Cricetulus griseus: one gene and its partners. The protein of the gene in region 1 purifies or fractionates together with the protein of each later gene. This does not show direct contact. Links are inferred from orthologs where the notes say so. Each region holds a gene or a part of one and is shown on either strand. Other genes may lie near its edges.

Evidence for each region. Proteins that work in one complex are often made in the same cells at the same time.
Region 2: the proteins of Ift88 (region 1) and Ift46 purify together in Homo sapiens (affinity purification with mass spectrometry; 3 studies listed by BioGRID and IntAct, with this or other methods). This does not show direct contact. The link is inferred for Cricetulus griseus from reciprocal best matches to the Homo sapiens genes IFT88 and IFT46.
Region 3: the proteins of Ift88 (region 1) and Hspb11 purify together in Homo sapiens (affinity purification with mass spectrometry; 3 studies listed by BioGRID and IntAct, with this or other methods). This does not show direct contact. The link is inferred for Cricetulus griseus from reciprocal best matches to the Homo sapiens genes IFT88 and IFT25.

Annotation. Positions count from the first base shown.
Region 1 is NW_023276807.1:212,488,813-212,494,295, forward strand, and holds the start of Ift88 (intraflagellar transport protein 88 homolog), read left to right. Parts: upstream 1-1,861; 5' UTR 1,862-2,015; intron 2,016-5,483. UniProt on the Homo sapiens protein: Positively regulates primary cilium biogenesis. Also involved in autophagy since it is required for trafficking of ATG16L and the expansion of the autophagic compartment.
Region 2 is NC_048597.1:156,455,796-156,460,059, forward strand, and holds part of Ift46 (intraflagellar transport protein 46 homolog), read left to right. Parts: intron 1-1,557; coding exon 1,558-1,691; exon of another isoform or gene 1,692-2,409; coding exon of another isoform or gene 2,410-2,444; intron 2,445-4,264. UniProt on the Homo sapiens protein: Forms part of a complex involved in intraflagellar transport (IFT), the bi-directional movement of particles required for the assembly, maintenance and functioning of primary cilia. May play a role in chondrocyte maturation and skeletogenesis.
Region 3 is NC_048595.1:42,542,123-42,546,386, forward strand, and holds part of Hspb11 (intraflagellar transport protein 25 homolog), read right to left. Parts: intron 3,927-4,264; coding exon 3,820-3,926; intron 2,334-3,819; coding exon 2,265-2,333; intron 145-2,264; coding exon 101-144; intron 1-100. UniProt on the Homo sapiens protein: Component of the IFT complex B required for sonic hedgehog/SHH signaling.

The sequences.
Region 1 (5,483 bases):
TTTGCCTCCATATGTCTGACCACTGAAGAGAGTCATTAAGGGCTCTTCTATAAAATCTAAATACTAAGGTTCAGTTCTAGGGTTTTTTAAAGAAGTGTTTTGAACTGCTATATGCTTACACACAACAGGGTTCATTATAGCCTTTCCACACATTCACATAATTTGTTTTGTTCATATTTACCCATCCTCATTACCTTCTCTTGTCCTTTCTCTTTTGCCTTTCTACATCCCCTTATCCTAAAATACATCTCTGTCACTCACAGTCTTCCAAACCATCTTTTTTTAGGAATGAATGAATCCCAAGTATGTATCTGTAGACGGGGTCTCTTCTCTGAGCTTGTTTATTGTGATGCTGGGAATCCGAATCAGGGCTTTGTACATGCCAAGCAAGTGTTCTAACACTGAGCTACATCCCCAGCCCTCTTCTCTGAGCTTTATATCTTCATATACAACTGCTTGCTCAACATCTCTTCTTGAGTGTTCTATAGGCACCTGACAGTGTGTTCCAAACTAAGCTCAACCCTGCCCATCCAACATGCTTTTCCTCTAGTGTTCTCCATATTCACATATGGAGCTCACTTTTACTCCATTACTCATGCTTGTCTGCTTCCCATTCACCCCACTTTATATGTAACTAATTACAAACTCTGACAATTCGTTTAAAATTATTAAGTGAACAGGCAAAAATATCTGTTGCCCAAGGAACTTTTATTTTAACAAAACATAATAATATCTTCTTCTCAGACAAGGTCTGGGCACCCTGGTGTGCAGTCATTAAAAAAAAGATTCAGTGCTGGAGGTTAGGGGCACACACCTTTAATCCCAGCACTCAGAAGGCAGAGGCAGGTGAATCTCTGTGCGTTCGAGGCCACCCTGGCCTACAGAGCGAGTTCCAGGACAGCCAGGGATACACAGAGAAACCCTGTCTCAAAAAAACAAAAAGATTCAGTGACTCTATTTTTTTTCTTTCTGTATCAAAGTGCAGTAACTTGAAAAAAAAAGGGGGGGGCTCTATGGTGTTCACAAATTACCTTAACAAGTACTTACTATTTGCTCTGAGTGAAGCACGGTAGCCAGATGCTGTCAATAACTGTAGGATTTATCCCACTAGCAAGCTAACACATTAGTTTAACACTGTTGTCTTCTGAATGCTGGTGCAAAACACCTGGATCAGAGACAAAGAGCTTTAATCTTCAAAGCAAACCACGTAGCCGGAGCCTGACCAACCTAATAATTTGTCCCCTACAACCAACCTCCCAGTGTCCTGTGGGCGGGTAAGGTGGATGCTACACATGCAATTACTTCCTGACACAACCGAGCAATTCAAGCTTAGGAAACCTCGGTCTTTTATAGTGGACTTCAAGTCAACATGTCCAGCTTTTGTTCCGGAGGGAAACATTATTTTGCTGTTAGGACAGGGTCTTGTGTCACCCTGCTGGCCCTGTATTCCCGATCGTCCAGGTGCCACCTCCCAAGTGATGGGATCACAGGTGTGCCTCATTATCTCATTACCTTTACTTTAGTTTTTCAGATTCAGTTTATTTAGGAAGAACCTCGATAGGCTCATCCGGCAATTTATCGTGTGATGAATACAATTTCTACGTAATGTGGCGCAGAAAACAGCCTTCCACGTCGTGTATGGTGGCTCCGGGACACATTTCATTCACCCGGGCATCACGCCCTGCTTGCCAGCTCTCGGGATGGGTGCCTCGGGGTCCACACGACTTTGGTTTCCTTCTGTGATCACCCCGGCTCACGTGGCAATTCCCAGACATCGGTACAGCATGCTCGGTAACCGCAATCGCTCGTCCCACTCTGCAGTCCGCAGTTCCCGGCAACCCTGCACTTCCGGTCCCGAGCTTCCGGCCTCGCCTAGGCGGCGCGGAGGACTGTGGGAGCGGCTTCCTTGGATTCGCGCCTGGCAACGGCTGGGCGTCCAGCTCTGGACTGCGGAGGCTCAGGCGTCGCGTCTTCCCCGTGCCCACTCGTGGTCAGCCCGCTCCCCTCGGCGCGAGGTAGGAGAAGGGCCCGGCCCTCGCGGCCGCCCGCCCTGCTGCCCTGCTGCCTGCCGGGTGCGTGAGCGACCGGCGGGGTCGCGAGGGAGGCGGGCTGGGGCGCCCAGCCCCGCTCCGGCGAATGCGCTTCCCGTAGCCATCACTTTGTTAGCGCTCCGGGCCAAAGTGACGCGGCTTGGCGATGCCACAGCACCCGTGAAACTTTGAGAGTTTCCCAGCGAGTATTGCTAATACTTGCATCCGGTCAACTTTGAAATTGCCTAGTAATCAGGACTGAAAGCACAAGTACAGAAAAGAATGCATAAAGCACAGTCTCACAAAGATAAAAACATATCCCCTAAGGGTTGGTTCTAGACACCCACTTTCCCGAGATACCAAACTTCCCAGGTGCTCATTCACGAATATAAGGTGTTATGGTATTTGCATTGTATCTAAACCGTTTTCCCACTTCGTCATCTTAGACTATTCATTGATGCATAAATAATGGTTAAGCCGAATTGTTCAGGGAATAGAGAAAAGGGGGGGGGGAGATAAAGTGTGTGTTTAGTAAAGATAAATCTTTCTCCCAAATATTTTCAATTTGCAGTTGGTTGAATCCAAGATGCAAAGATATAGATGGCTGAGTACTGTTTTTCCAAGATTTTTTTCTAATCATAAAATTTCACTTTGTTGTTGTTATTTTGTTTTGTTTTTTGAGACAGGGTTTCTCCTTGTAACAGCCCTGGCTTTCCTGGCACTCCTGTGGACCTATCCTGTAGACCAGGCTGGCCTCGAACTCACAGAGATCCGCCTGCCTCTGCCTCCCAAGTGCTGGTTAGCCACCACCCCAGCACTACTTTCCCTTTTTATAGACTTTTTATTTTCTACTCTGGTTATGCGCTTTAGCGAAACCACCATAGACACTTTGACTGTGGACTGTCTATCACAGTAGAAGTAAATAAAAAGAAAGAACTTCCCATGTAAAATGGTTTCACTGGCAATATTGAGATGACAGTATACCACGTTATTTTTGAAAGACCATGGAGAATTTAGAAACCCTGAGTTGTACTATTCATTAGCCACTCATGATTGTTAGTAAAGAGTAATTAATTAACTTAAATCTTTTCTAGTCTTCCACATCTTTAAATCTTCCACTATTGGTCTGTTCAGCTATCTGTGATGTTTCCCAGGGGTGGGTGGGTGGGTGGGTGTGTGTGTGTGTGTGTGTGTGTGTGTGTGTGTGTGTATTAAATCTGCTTGTGACCAGAAGAAAAGTCTCGTTCTAAAAGCTGATCTTTTCAGAGACTTACAGATAAACTAAATTGACATCAAAAGAGTTTGTAAGCAGAAAGTTCTTCAGCATGTGATTCTGAAAGTATGGTCCCTGGGCCAACAGCATCAGCACCACTTGGGAACTTGTTTGGAATCTAGGGCTTGAGAGATGGCTCAGTGGGTAAAGTGCTTGCTGCAAAAGGATGAGAACCTGTTGTGTAGTGGCTGGTGTGTGCTTATAATCTCAGCTTTGGAAGAGTGAAGACAAGAGGATTTGTGCTGCTCACTGGTCAGCTAGACTAGCTAAATATGAGCTCCATGTCCCAGTGAGAGATCTTGTCTCCAAAAACAAGGGTAGGCAGTGCCTGAACAGGATGACACCCTAGGGTGACCTCTTGCCACCACAGGCACACACATGCTTGTGTGTACACACACATGCAGGAGCAACCATACCCACACAAAGAAATTCATGTTCTGGCTGGATGGAATAACTCATATCTGTCACCCCAGCTCTTGGGAGGTAGAAGCAGGAGTTCAAGGCCAGACTTGGCTATGTAATGAGTTCAAGACCAGTGTAGGCTACATAAGACCCTATGTCAGAAACAATCCCCCACCCTAAAAATAAATAAATAAATAAATTTACATTTTGAGAGATCAAAGGATCTCCTTCACTCAAGATTTCTTGAATTGGAAGCATAGATGGCTGGGGAGCAGCTGTCTGAAATGAACAACTTTTAAGCTTCTGATGCATGCTCAGGTTTGAGAGCCACTGGTTTAGCACAGTATTTCCCTCTTATCTGTAGGGGATGTAGTCAAAGACCCCACATATCACACTGAACTCTTCAAGCACTTTTTTTTTTTCAGGACAATGTACCCTGTATAACAGCCCTGGCTGTCCTGGAACTCAATCTGTAGACCAGGCTGGCCTTGAATTCACAGAGATCCATCTGCCTTTACCTTCTGAATGCTGGGATCAAAGGTGTGGGCCACCATGCCAGGCCTTGCTGTTTTTAGTTTTTTCATATACATATATGCCTATGATAAAATTTAAATTATAAATTAGTCACTGTAAGAGATTAACAGTAATAATAAAATATAAATTATAATAACATACTGTGATGAAAGTAATATATATTCTGTTTCTCTAATTTTTTTTTTTTTTTTGCTGTTCTGTGTTCACACTTCTTTAATAAAGTATTTCAGTACTTAAAGAAAATACTTCCTGGGCTGAAGAGATGGCTCAGCTTTTAAAGGCTAGGCTCACAACCAAAAATAGAAGAAAATACTTCCTGCCTTTTCTTCGGCATGTTTGACTTGCCAATAGCTCTGTTCTTGTGCTTTCGGACCAATGATAAAGAAAATAACAAGAACTGTAACACCACAACAGTTAACCTGATAACTGAGATAGCTGCTACGTGACTAATGGGCAGGTAGCCTATACAGTGTGTATACAATGGAAAAGGGAATGATTAACATCCCAAGTGGCATTGATTAGGATGTTGTAATATTTTATCACTCTGCTCAGAAAATCGGCAGCTATTCCAGAAGCTAACACAGAGTTCCTGTGTGACCCAGCAATTCCAAACCTAGGTATATACCCAGTAGAATTGGGCATGCATTCAGCAAGGGCTGAGAGATGATGGCTCTGTAGTTACAAGCACTTGATGCCTTCCCATAGGACCTGAGTTCAGTTTCCAGCACCCATGTTGGCCAGTTCCCAACACAGACACATAAACTTAAAAAGAAAGTGCATTCATGCAAAAACTTGTATGTAAACATTCATCACAGGGTTATTCATAAAAGCTCAAAAGTAGAGCCAACCCATTGTTCATTAACTAATGAATAGAGAAGCCAAATGCTGTAAATTTATTACTGAGCCATGAAAAAGAATGCAGTATAGTGAAACTGTATCCTGAACCCTGAAAACATGCTAAATAAAAGAATCTAGACATAACTGCTACATACTGTATGGTTTCATGCACGTGAAATGTCTGGAATTGGCTCATCCATAAAGGCAGGCAATTGTTTAGTGGCTTTCAGGGTCTGGGCAAAGGAGGAATGGGGAATAATTGCTGAAGAGCCTCAGGATTTTGTTTTTATAGGATGAATAAAATGTTCTGGAGTTAGATAGCAGTGACGGCTGTACACCCTTTGAATATACTGAAACCCAATGAATGATACACTTTACTTACTGAGATATAAGCTAGCTTCTAACTT
Region 2 (4,264 bases), on another chromosome or scaffold:
AGACCAGGGCCTCAAACTCACAGAGATCTGCTCTGCTTCCCAAGTGCTGGATTAAAGACATATGCTACCATTTCCCACCAGCATGCATATATTTCTATGCAACATGTGTGTACCTTGTGTCCATGGAGGCTAGACCATGACATTGCATCCCCTGAAACTGGTATATATAGTTGTGAGCTGCCATGTGGGTGCTGGGAATCGAACCCAGATCTTTAACAATGCTCTTAACCACTGAGCTATCTCTCCAGACCCTAAAAGCTACTTTTAAAGGAGGCTAATTTACCACCTGGCAGGGAGGGCATGTTACAGGCTACAGGCCACAGAGACAAAAATAAGGACCCTGTCCCAACTGTCTCTGCAAGTGCAGACACCACCAGACCCTCTCATAGGGACTTAGGAGAGTAGGATGGAGCGTAGCCAGACAGAAACAAACAAACAAAAAGGTGTGCAGTGGTGGTGCACACCTTTGATCCCAGCACTCAGGAGACAGGTGGATCTCTGTGAGTTAAAGGCCAATAGGAGCTCCTCATCCTGGACTAGAATATGTATAGTCATTGCACTTAACTCACAGGGAGGAGTATTGTGGACGAACCAGACACCCTATGAAGGAGGTATCACTGAGCAAAAATGGGAAGTCCTTACTCTCCAGAGCTGTGTGTGTGAATCCAGGCTCAGGGTTGAGTATCTACTTTATTCTTGTGATATTTTACAGCCCTTACTCTGAGCATTTTTACAAATTAGATGCTAAGTTTCTCTATGAATACCATGAGCCTATAAAGTTTGTCTTCCCTACTTCATCTTTTCCTACTCCCTAAATAATCTCAAGTTGTTACCCCTTTTCCAGTATTTATTCTTTTAGTTATATTTGTGTATCTGTGCATGTGAGTACTGTACCCATGGAGGCCAGGAGAGATCAGACCCCCTGGAGCTGGCATTATAGGAGGGAGGTTGTGAGCTGTCTTTTGTAGGTGTTGGGAGCTAAATTCTGGTCCTCTGTAAGAGCAGTATGTGCTCTTAGCCACGGAGCTTTCTCTTCTACTTTCTATGATTTATTTTACCCTTAATTATGCATAAATGTGTGTAGGTCAGGCATGTGGGGAAGAGGAGTGTTGGTATGTGAATATGAATGCAGGTGCCTTCAGCATCTAGAAGGATCCCCTGAAATTGGAGCCCAGGCAGTTTTGAACCACCTGACATGGGTTCTGGGAATCAAATTTGGGTGCTCTTTAACTGCTGAACCATCTCTCCAGCCCCACCACCTTTTCCTAAATTTAGGGAGTGAGGCTTCTGGATAAAGTTTATGCAAAACTTCCAAAATCAAGTAAAGGTTCCTAACTATAAGTCGAGTCGAATTGTACCCTGTTTCTAGTAGAGAACTATGGTTGAAGAAAGTGGGGGTCTGCTTAGCAGGAGAAGGTTCTCAGGCCTTTAGGGATGGTGCCACCTTTCTAGTGACTAGGTGGCAGAGGTCTGGGCATTATGAGAAGAGTGCACAGTCAGGCTTAGGAATTAAGTTTCTCTTTATATAAACATTTCTTCCCTGCCTGCCCTGCCCAGGAGAAGAAGAAGCCCTCACAGTTGACACCGCAGCGGGGTTTCAGTGAAAACGATGATGACGATGATGATGACTCGTCTGAGACTGATTCTGATGACGACGATGATGATGAAGAGCATGGAGCACCTCTGGAAGGGTAGGAAGGACCCTGTGCCAAGGGCATTTTGTTCAGGAGGCAGTTTGAAGGACTAATTTGGGAATAGATGGCAGCATCTTTTGATATCCTCTACTTGGGTTTTCTCATATCTCAGGAGCCCAGCATTGTGAGTTTTCATTTCTTTCTGGCTCTATTGACTCATCTGCTCCTGTGATGTCACTTAAACTATCGGAATATTTGTGGGCTCAGCAAATACACGGGGTTAACCTAAATCATGGCCCCTGTCTTCCAGGAGCTCCCAGTTTGGGAAATAAGTACATTTGTGCATATGCCAAAGCATTTCTGTCTAGTGGGGCAAACTCCATGCACATAAGCGTTTCCATTTTAGGCTGAGATGCTTCCTGAACAAGAGAGAAGAGCTTCAGGGGCCTCACACTTGGGTGATGCTAAGTAAACAGCAACAAAAAACATTTTACTCTGTTGCAGCCCCATTGTCACAGTGCATCATGATTCACTCCTATAAGTTATAACCAACATGTATTCTGAATACCATCCATTTATACTGGGGATATAGCTCAGTGGTCACGTATTTACCTATATATGTGAGGCCCTGGGTTCAATCCCCAGAACTGAAAGAACAAAACAAAACAAACAAAAAAACATATAAAATACTGTTACTAGCCAAGTGTAATGGTACATACCCGAAGTCTCAGCTACTTGGAAGGCTGAACCAAGAGGATCTCTTGAATCCAGGAGCTTAAGGCCAACTTGGGAAACATAGCGAGGCTTCATCTTAAACAGAAAAGTATAACAAAAATTAATTTAAAAGTTAATTATATAAAACTACCAGTGAACTAAATGATGAAATAACCAATCAAAATTTTGTCTACTTGTTGAAAGTATATGATGTAGCCAAGTGGGTGGCACATGCCTTTAATCGTAGCACTCAGGAGGCAGAGGCAGGCAAATCTCTGAGTTCAAGGCTGGCCTGGTCTACATAGTGAATTCCAGGAGAGCCAGGGATATGTAGAGAGACCCTCTCTCAAAAAGCAAACAAAGAAGAAAGTATATTGTGGTGGGGGGACAGAGAGATGGCTCAGAGGTTAAGAGCACTTGTTACTCTTGCAGAGGACCCAGATTCGGATCTCAGCACCCACACGGTGGCTCACAGCCATCTGTGTCTCCAGTTCCAGCTGATCCAGTGCCCTCTTCTGATGCCTGCATATGATCTATATGCAGGCAAAGCAATCATACACAGAAAACATTTTTTTTTTAAAGTATATAATGTCTATCTGTACTAATAAAGGCCAGCGTATGAATCAGGGAAAGTGGCTCAGACCTGTAATCCCAGCATTCAGAAGACAGGCAGGAGGATTGATGCAAGTTTGAGGCCAGCCTGGTTACATAGTGAGACCCTGACATTTACAGAACTTCTGCTGTGTAGCATTAATCCTGCCCATTGTCAGAGCTTTACCCCAGGAAGCACAGCTTCCCCTGTTCCTCCTGTCTGTGTCTCTGGTGTACTGGCTTGCTTTCCAGATACTGGGCTTTCTCACTTGTTATCTAAAGACACCCCCCTGCCACCGCCCCTAATGCAGCCTCTTGATGACCTCCATTTTGAATATGCCTGTTTTCTTGGGCCCTAACTCAAGACACGACCTTCTCTTTCCCTCTTCATTTCCCTCCTGGTAACTGCCAGTATCCATAGCTAATGCCCTGTTGTTTTTCTCTCAAATTCTAATAAAATGGTTCTTAAGCAGCTTTTAAGTAAGATGTTGAATTTTAAAGTGTATTCATGCTGTGTTGTTCTGTATATGTGGGAAACACTGTCTCTGGAAGGAGGCTGTGCCAGAGACACAGAGAACAACTGTGGCAAGCCATAAGAGAAACAACTTTTACTATATGCATTATAAGTTACTTTGTTTGTTATGTAGCTCAGGCTAGAATGTGTAGTCCTCATACCTGAACCTCTTGAATGCTGGGATTACAGGCATGAACCATCATTTGTTATAGTTTATTATTATTTATATTTTTGGCCCTTGAGGGTTGTTGTTGTTGTTATTATTATTATTATTATTATTTGGTATGAGTGAGTGTGTGTGTGTGTGTGTGTGTGTGTGAGAGAGAGAGAGAGAGAGAGAGAGAGAGAGAGAATATGGAATATGGAGGACAGCTTAAGGGAGTTGGTTCCCCTTCTACCATATGGGTTTCAGGGATTGAATTTAGATCTTCAGGCTTGGTTGCAGGAGTTTTTACCCTCTGAGCCAAAACAAAATGTACAAAAAAGCGCTGGAACAATGGTTAGAAGTGCTTCCTGCTCTTCCAGAGGACCTGAGTTTGGTTCCCAGCAACTATGCCAGCTGGCTTAAAACCATCTGTTAACCCCACTTCCAGGGGATCCAGTGCCCTCTCCTGGCCTTTGCAGTGTGCATGCATGTGTGTGCACCGCCCCCCCACAATCTTTTTAAAAATGTATAGAATATATTTAGTGATGTTGGACACAGTGGCACAGACCTGTAATTCCAACACTCAGGGGGCTGAAACCAGAGTATTGCAGGCCTGTGACCTGCATGAGCTACATACACAAGAAGGCCCTATCTCAAAGAGTCCCA
Region 3 (4,264 bases), on another chromosome or scaffold:
CCATGAGGATATTCATCATGAATAATTCATACTAGGAAAGTTTAAAATCTAAATTGGGCTCACTGAAGAAATCTTATCTCTACAAAGTATGTATACTTACCACAATTTCTTCGTTTTGAAGCTGCCCCTCTGTGTGTATTAAATCTAAGACACAAATTTAATAGAAATAGATTAAGGTTCAAAAATATGAGGATAGCTACAGAAATTTGTGCCCAACAAAAAGTGATTATTTGGCAAACTATATGTTAAAGCCAGATTTAAAGGAATTACCATTATTTGGGGGTTGATTTGATATAAGACATTTGACTTTAAAAAATGAATGAGCTGTAAAATACCTCTAGTGAGTTTACAACAGAAATGCAAATGTAAATCATACTAAAGAAATATACAGCAGGAAACTGGTAAAATGCAGACTCCTTCCCCTTATTAATCGAGCTCCTAGTAATTTCAGACTTTACCCACAGGAAAATTTCACTGTGATGTAGAACAGCCTGTGACATGATCTCTTCTGGTACTCAAGTTTAGTAACATACTCCTGGAATAGTTTACTTAGCCAGGAGTAATTGTTCAGAAATGTGAACTATTTAGTTAATATAATAATATCTTTTGACATTCATTTGTACCAAATAATGTACAGAATTTCAAAAGCTACCCAGGACCAAAGGAGAAGACTTTGGGAAGTAAGATCCTGGAGGCTTTTTTCCTGCTCCTTAATGCTTTCCTTAGATAATAAAAAAACTATTATCCCTGCTTTCCTGTGCCTACTCCTCTGGTTATGCTCCCTAGCAGTGAATGTGTTCCACTTTGTAGCCCGGAATTGTGGTGTACACCAGAAATCCCAGTATTCAGGAGACTGAGGCAGAAGGACTGATTATAATAAATTCCAGACCAGCCTGGGCTACATGGAATAAAAACCTGTACAAAAAGTGGTGGTGGGAGGTGGAGGGTGGGGGTCCTCCAAGATGGCTCAGTGGTTAAGAGCACTGACTCTTCTTCTAGAGGACCTGGGTTCCCTTCCCAGAACCCACATGGTAACTCACAACTGTCTATAACTACAGTCCCAGGGGATCTGATGCCTACCTTCTGGCCTCTGTGGACACCAGGCATGGTGCACAGATATACATGCAAACAAAACATCCATATACATTAAATAAATTTGTGTTTTTTTTCTGGAATTTAATATGTTTATACTCTCTTTCTTACTTACATGTAAGTTAAGTTTATATTGTGGTAAGTAGACCACATGTCCACTTCCTGGTCTAACTACATGGACAGTACAATGCTAAAATAAGAAACCAACTATGAACTAGTCTCATTCATACTTTCCACATCACCTGCTGCTCTCACATTTAGGCCTTCCTGGGGTTCCATGTAATAAATTAGCTTACTTCATGATACTTTCCTTGGAAGGCACTAGGTTACAACCTAATCTGCTGTGTTCTAGAAGTTATGGCTGTCCCTCTGGCAATAAAAACTATTGATCTACATTTGCCTGGTTCACTAGGTTTATGTTTTCTTTTCTCACTATAGTTTTATGTGTTTTTATTCTACTGTTTTCATGGTATTTGCTAAGAAAAGGAGATAGACACATTATGTATGTTTGTACTTAAATGGAAGATAGTAATTTAGTTGATGATGTTTATCAAAAAAACTTTTTTTTTGTTTTGAAATAGGGACTCACTATGTCATGCTGGATGGCCTAGAAAGATGTATGTAGATCAAACTCAGAGATTCCCCCTGCCTCTACTTTCTGAATCTTGGGATTGAGGACATGTGCCACCATGCCCAGCTCAGTTTAAATAAACAGCATCATTAATCAGGAAAGAAAAGTACAAAATGAATATTTTTTGCTTATCATAAAAGCCTCAAATGTGTCATCTCTTTTTTTGATAACCTAAATTTTGAAAATGCTAATTTTTGCTTTGTTTTGTTTTTTCAAGACAGGGTTTCTCTGTATTGCTTTGGAGCCTGTCCTGGAGCTCGCTCTGTAGACCAGGCTGACTTCGAACTCATGGAGATCCAACTGCCTCTGCCTCCTGAGTATTGGTATTAAAGGCAGGCGCCACCAACGCCCAGCAAAAATGTTAATTGTTTTATAAACAGTACATGAAGACTACAAATGTGTGTTTTTCTAGGCCTTATCTGTGTTAAAGAATCATTAAAATAACCTTTTATTTACCAAAATGCAGTTGGACTGATATCACAGAGTCAGAGGCCAGCCATCTACTCCCTCATGCTCAGAAAAGTACTGGCATCATACACACCTTTTTCCACCCACTGCTCAAAATCGAATGGCTCTTTAGATGCAGTCTTTTCAATCCTCAAGGTCCGCACTGGCATTATAAACAGAATAAATAAATATTAATTAGCTTTTTAATTCTGTTTTGTTGTTTCTGTTTTTCTTTTCCCTACTACTTGACTGCCATAGATTGATGGGTACCACACAAAGTGCTTGGAACAGGAATAACACATCCTGGAAGCTATGACTGTTTTTCCCTAAGTCCCTATGGCAAAATGTAACACTGTCCAATGGCAATCTTGCCACTGTTTATCACTCAGAGCACAAATCTAATAGAGCTTTTCTGAATCTGGTTATTATCTGGAGTGTTTATATACTGGTTGTGATACTTCTGGTAGCCATGGTCCTAACCCTTTATGGAGAACATGCTGGGTCAGACGTCTTTGTTCATTCTCTCTTGGCTGAAGTCTTTATGAGAAAGGTATTACTAACCCACTTCCCTGATGAGGACACAGGTTTACAGAAGCTAGGCAAGGTGTCCAATGGACTAAAGCTGGGAAATGCAGAACAGGAGTTCATACATGAGGCTTGTCCACTCTAGGGCCTCCACAATTCATGACAGAAGAAGCTCCCCACATGACCCCCCAGCCATCCTTCCCCTTCTATTTCTTATTATGGAGGGGCTTGCTTCTATAGATTGCATCTCCTAGAACAACTAGCTTTCTTTGGAGCTGGCTAGTAGCAGGCACCAGAAGACTGTAGGGCAGAAAGTGAGCTGGATATTTTATTTACACTCTGCCCTGCTTCATGCCATGTCTTTGATAGTGGTCCTGTCCCTTCAAAACCATAAGGCTCCTGCTAGCCAGATCCCCCTGTACAGCCCCGAAATCTCCCTGGGCTCTGGTGACACTTTCCTCTCCTTGTCCCAGGACAGGACTCTCTCTGCTGTAGCTAGTTTCTGAGAGCTATTATCCCTTATTCATTCCTGCAGCTCAGGCCAGAATTTTATAAGTAGATCTATTAATAACGTCTCTTCATTTGAAACATCTGGGATCTATTCTGTTTCCTGCCATGATTCTGTCTGATACACTTTATCACAGACAGGACTTGATGTTCCAAAGGGAGATTCCATTCCTAATCCCCAGAAAATATCATTAGCAATAGAAGAATCAAAACTATCCAGTGGGAATAATAGGGGTTATCAGATTTACAGAAAGAATCTGAGAACTACAGGCTAAATGAACCCAGAATGAAGATGTCATAGGACCTAGCATTCTGGCAAGCCAGCTTCTTCTTACATCCTAATTGAATCTTCTGCCAAAGACTTTCACACAGTAAACTGCATGGAAATTATGATGTGCTTTGGAAGGGTTTCAAATTTACAGTTTAAGAGAGGCTAATTGTGCTGAAGACAGTTAACCCAATACTCTCCACCTTCCTTTTCAGCAATAAAACAGGGTCCCATGCTGTAAAAAAAAAAAAAAAAAAAACACAACTAGTTCTTTGCCAAAAGTTGACATGTGTCCTCTGTCTATGGAAAAACTCAAGAATAATAAAAGGTTAGTGTGTGATTGGCTTACCTAAGTAACTTTGGATCACGAGCTTTTCAATCTTCACGTGTTTGTGAAAACAAATAATGAACTCCTGGGGAAACATGCCTGTGGTGGTCCAGAAGGTTTCTGGATTCCTAATGTTAATTTTAAAGGAATAAAAGGAATAGACAGATATAAAAACTAACCATGATATTCTAATGAATAAATATTAAAAATATCTACTGTTTTATTTTCAAATCCCTTTCTAACTTAGTTCTACCTATGATCTCCCCAACTTTAGTACTTTTTTTAAACTACTGACAGATACCCTCTTCTAAAATGCTGAAACAAAACTGATGTCACTCCCACCTAAAAGCCTTCAGCAGCCCCCTACTGACTGTAAATCCAACCTCTATAGTTCCATCATTAAAGTATATTGTATAGTATAATATATTGTAAAGTATAAAGTTCCATTACTACATCATTCTATCAC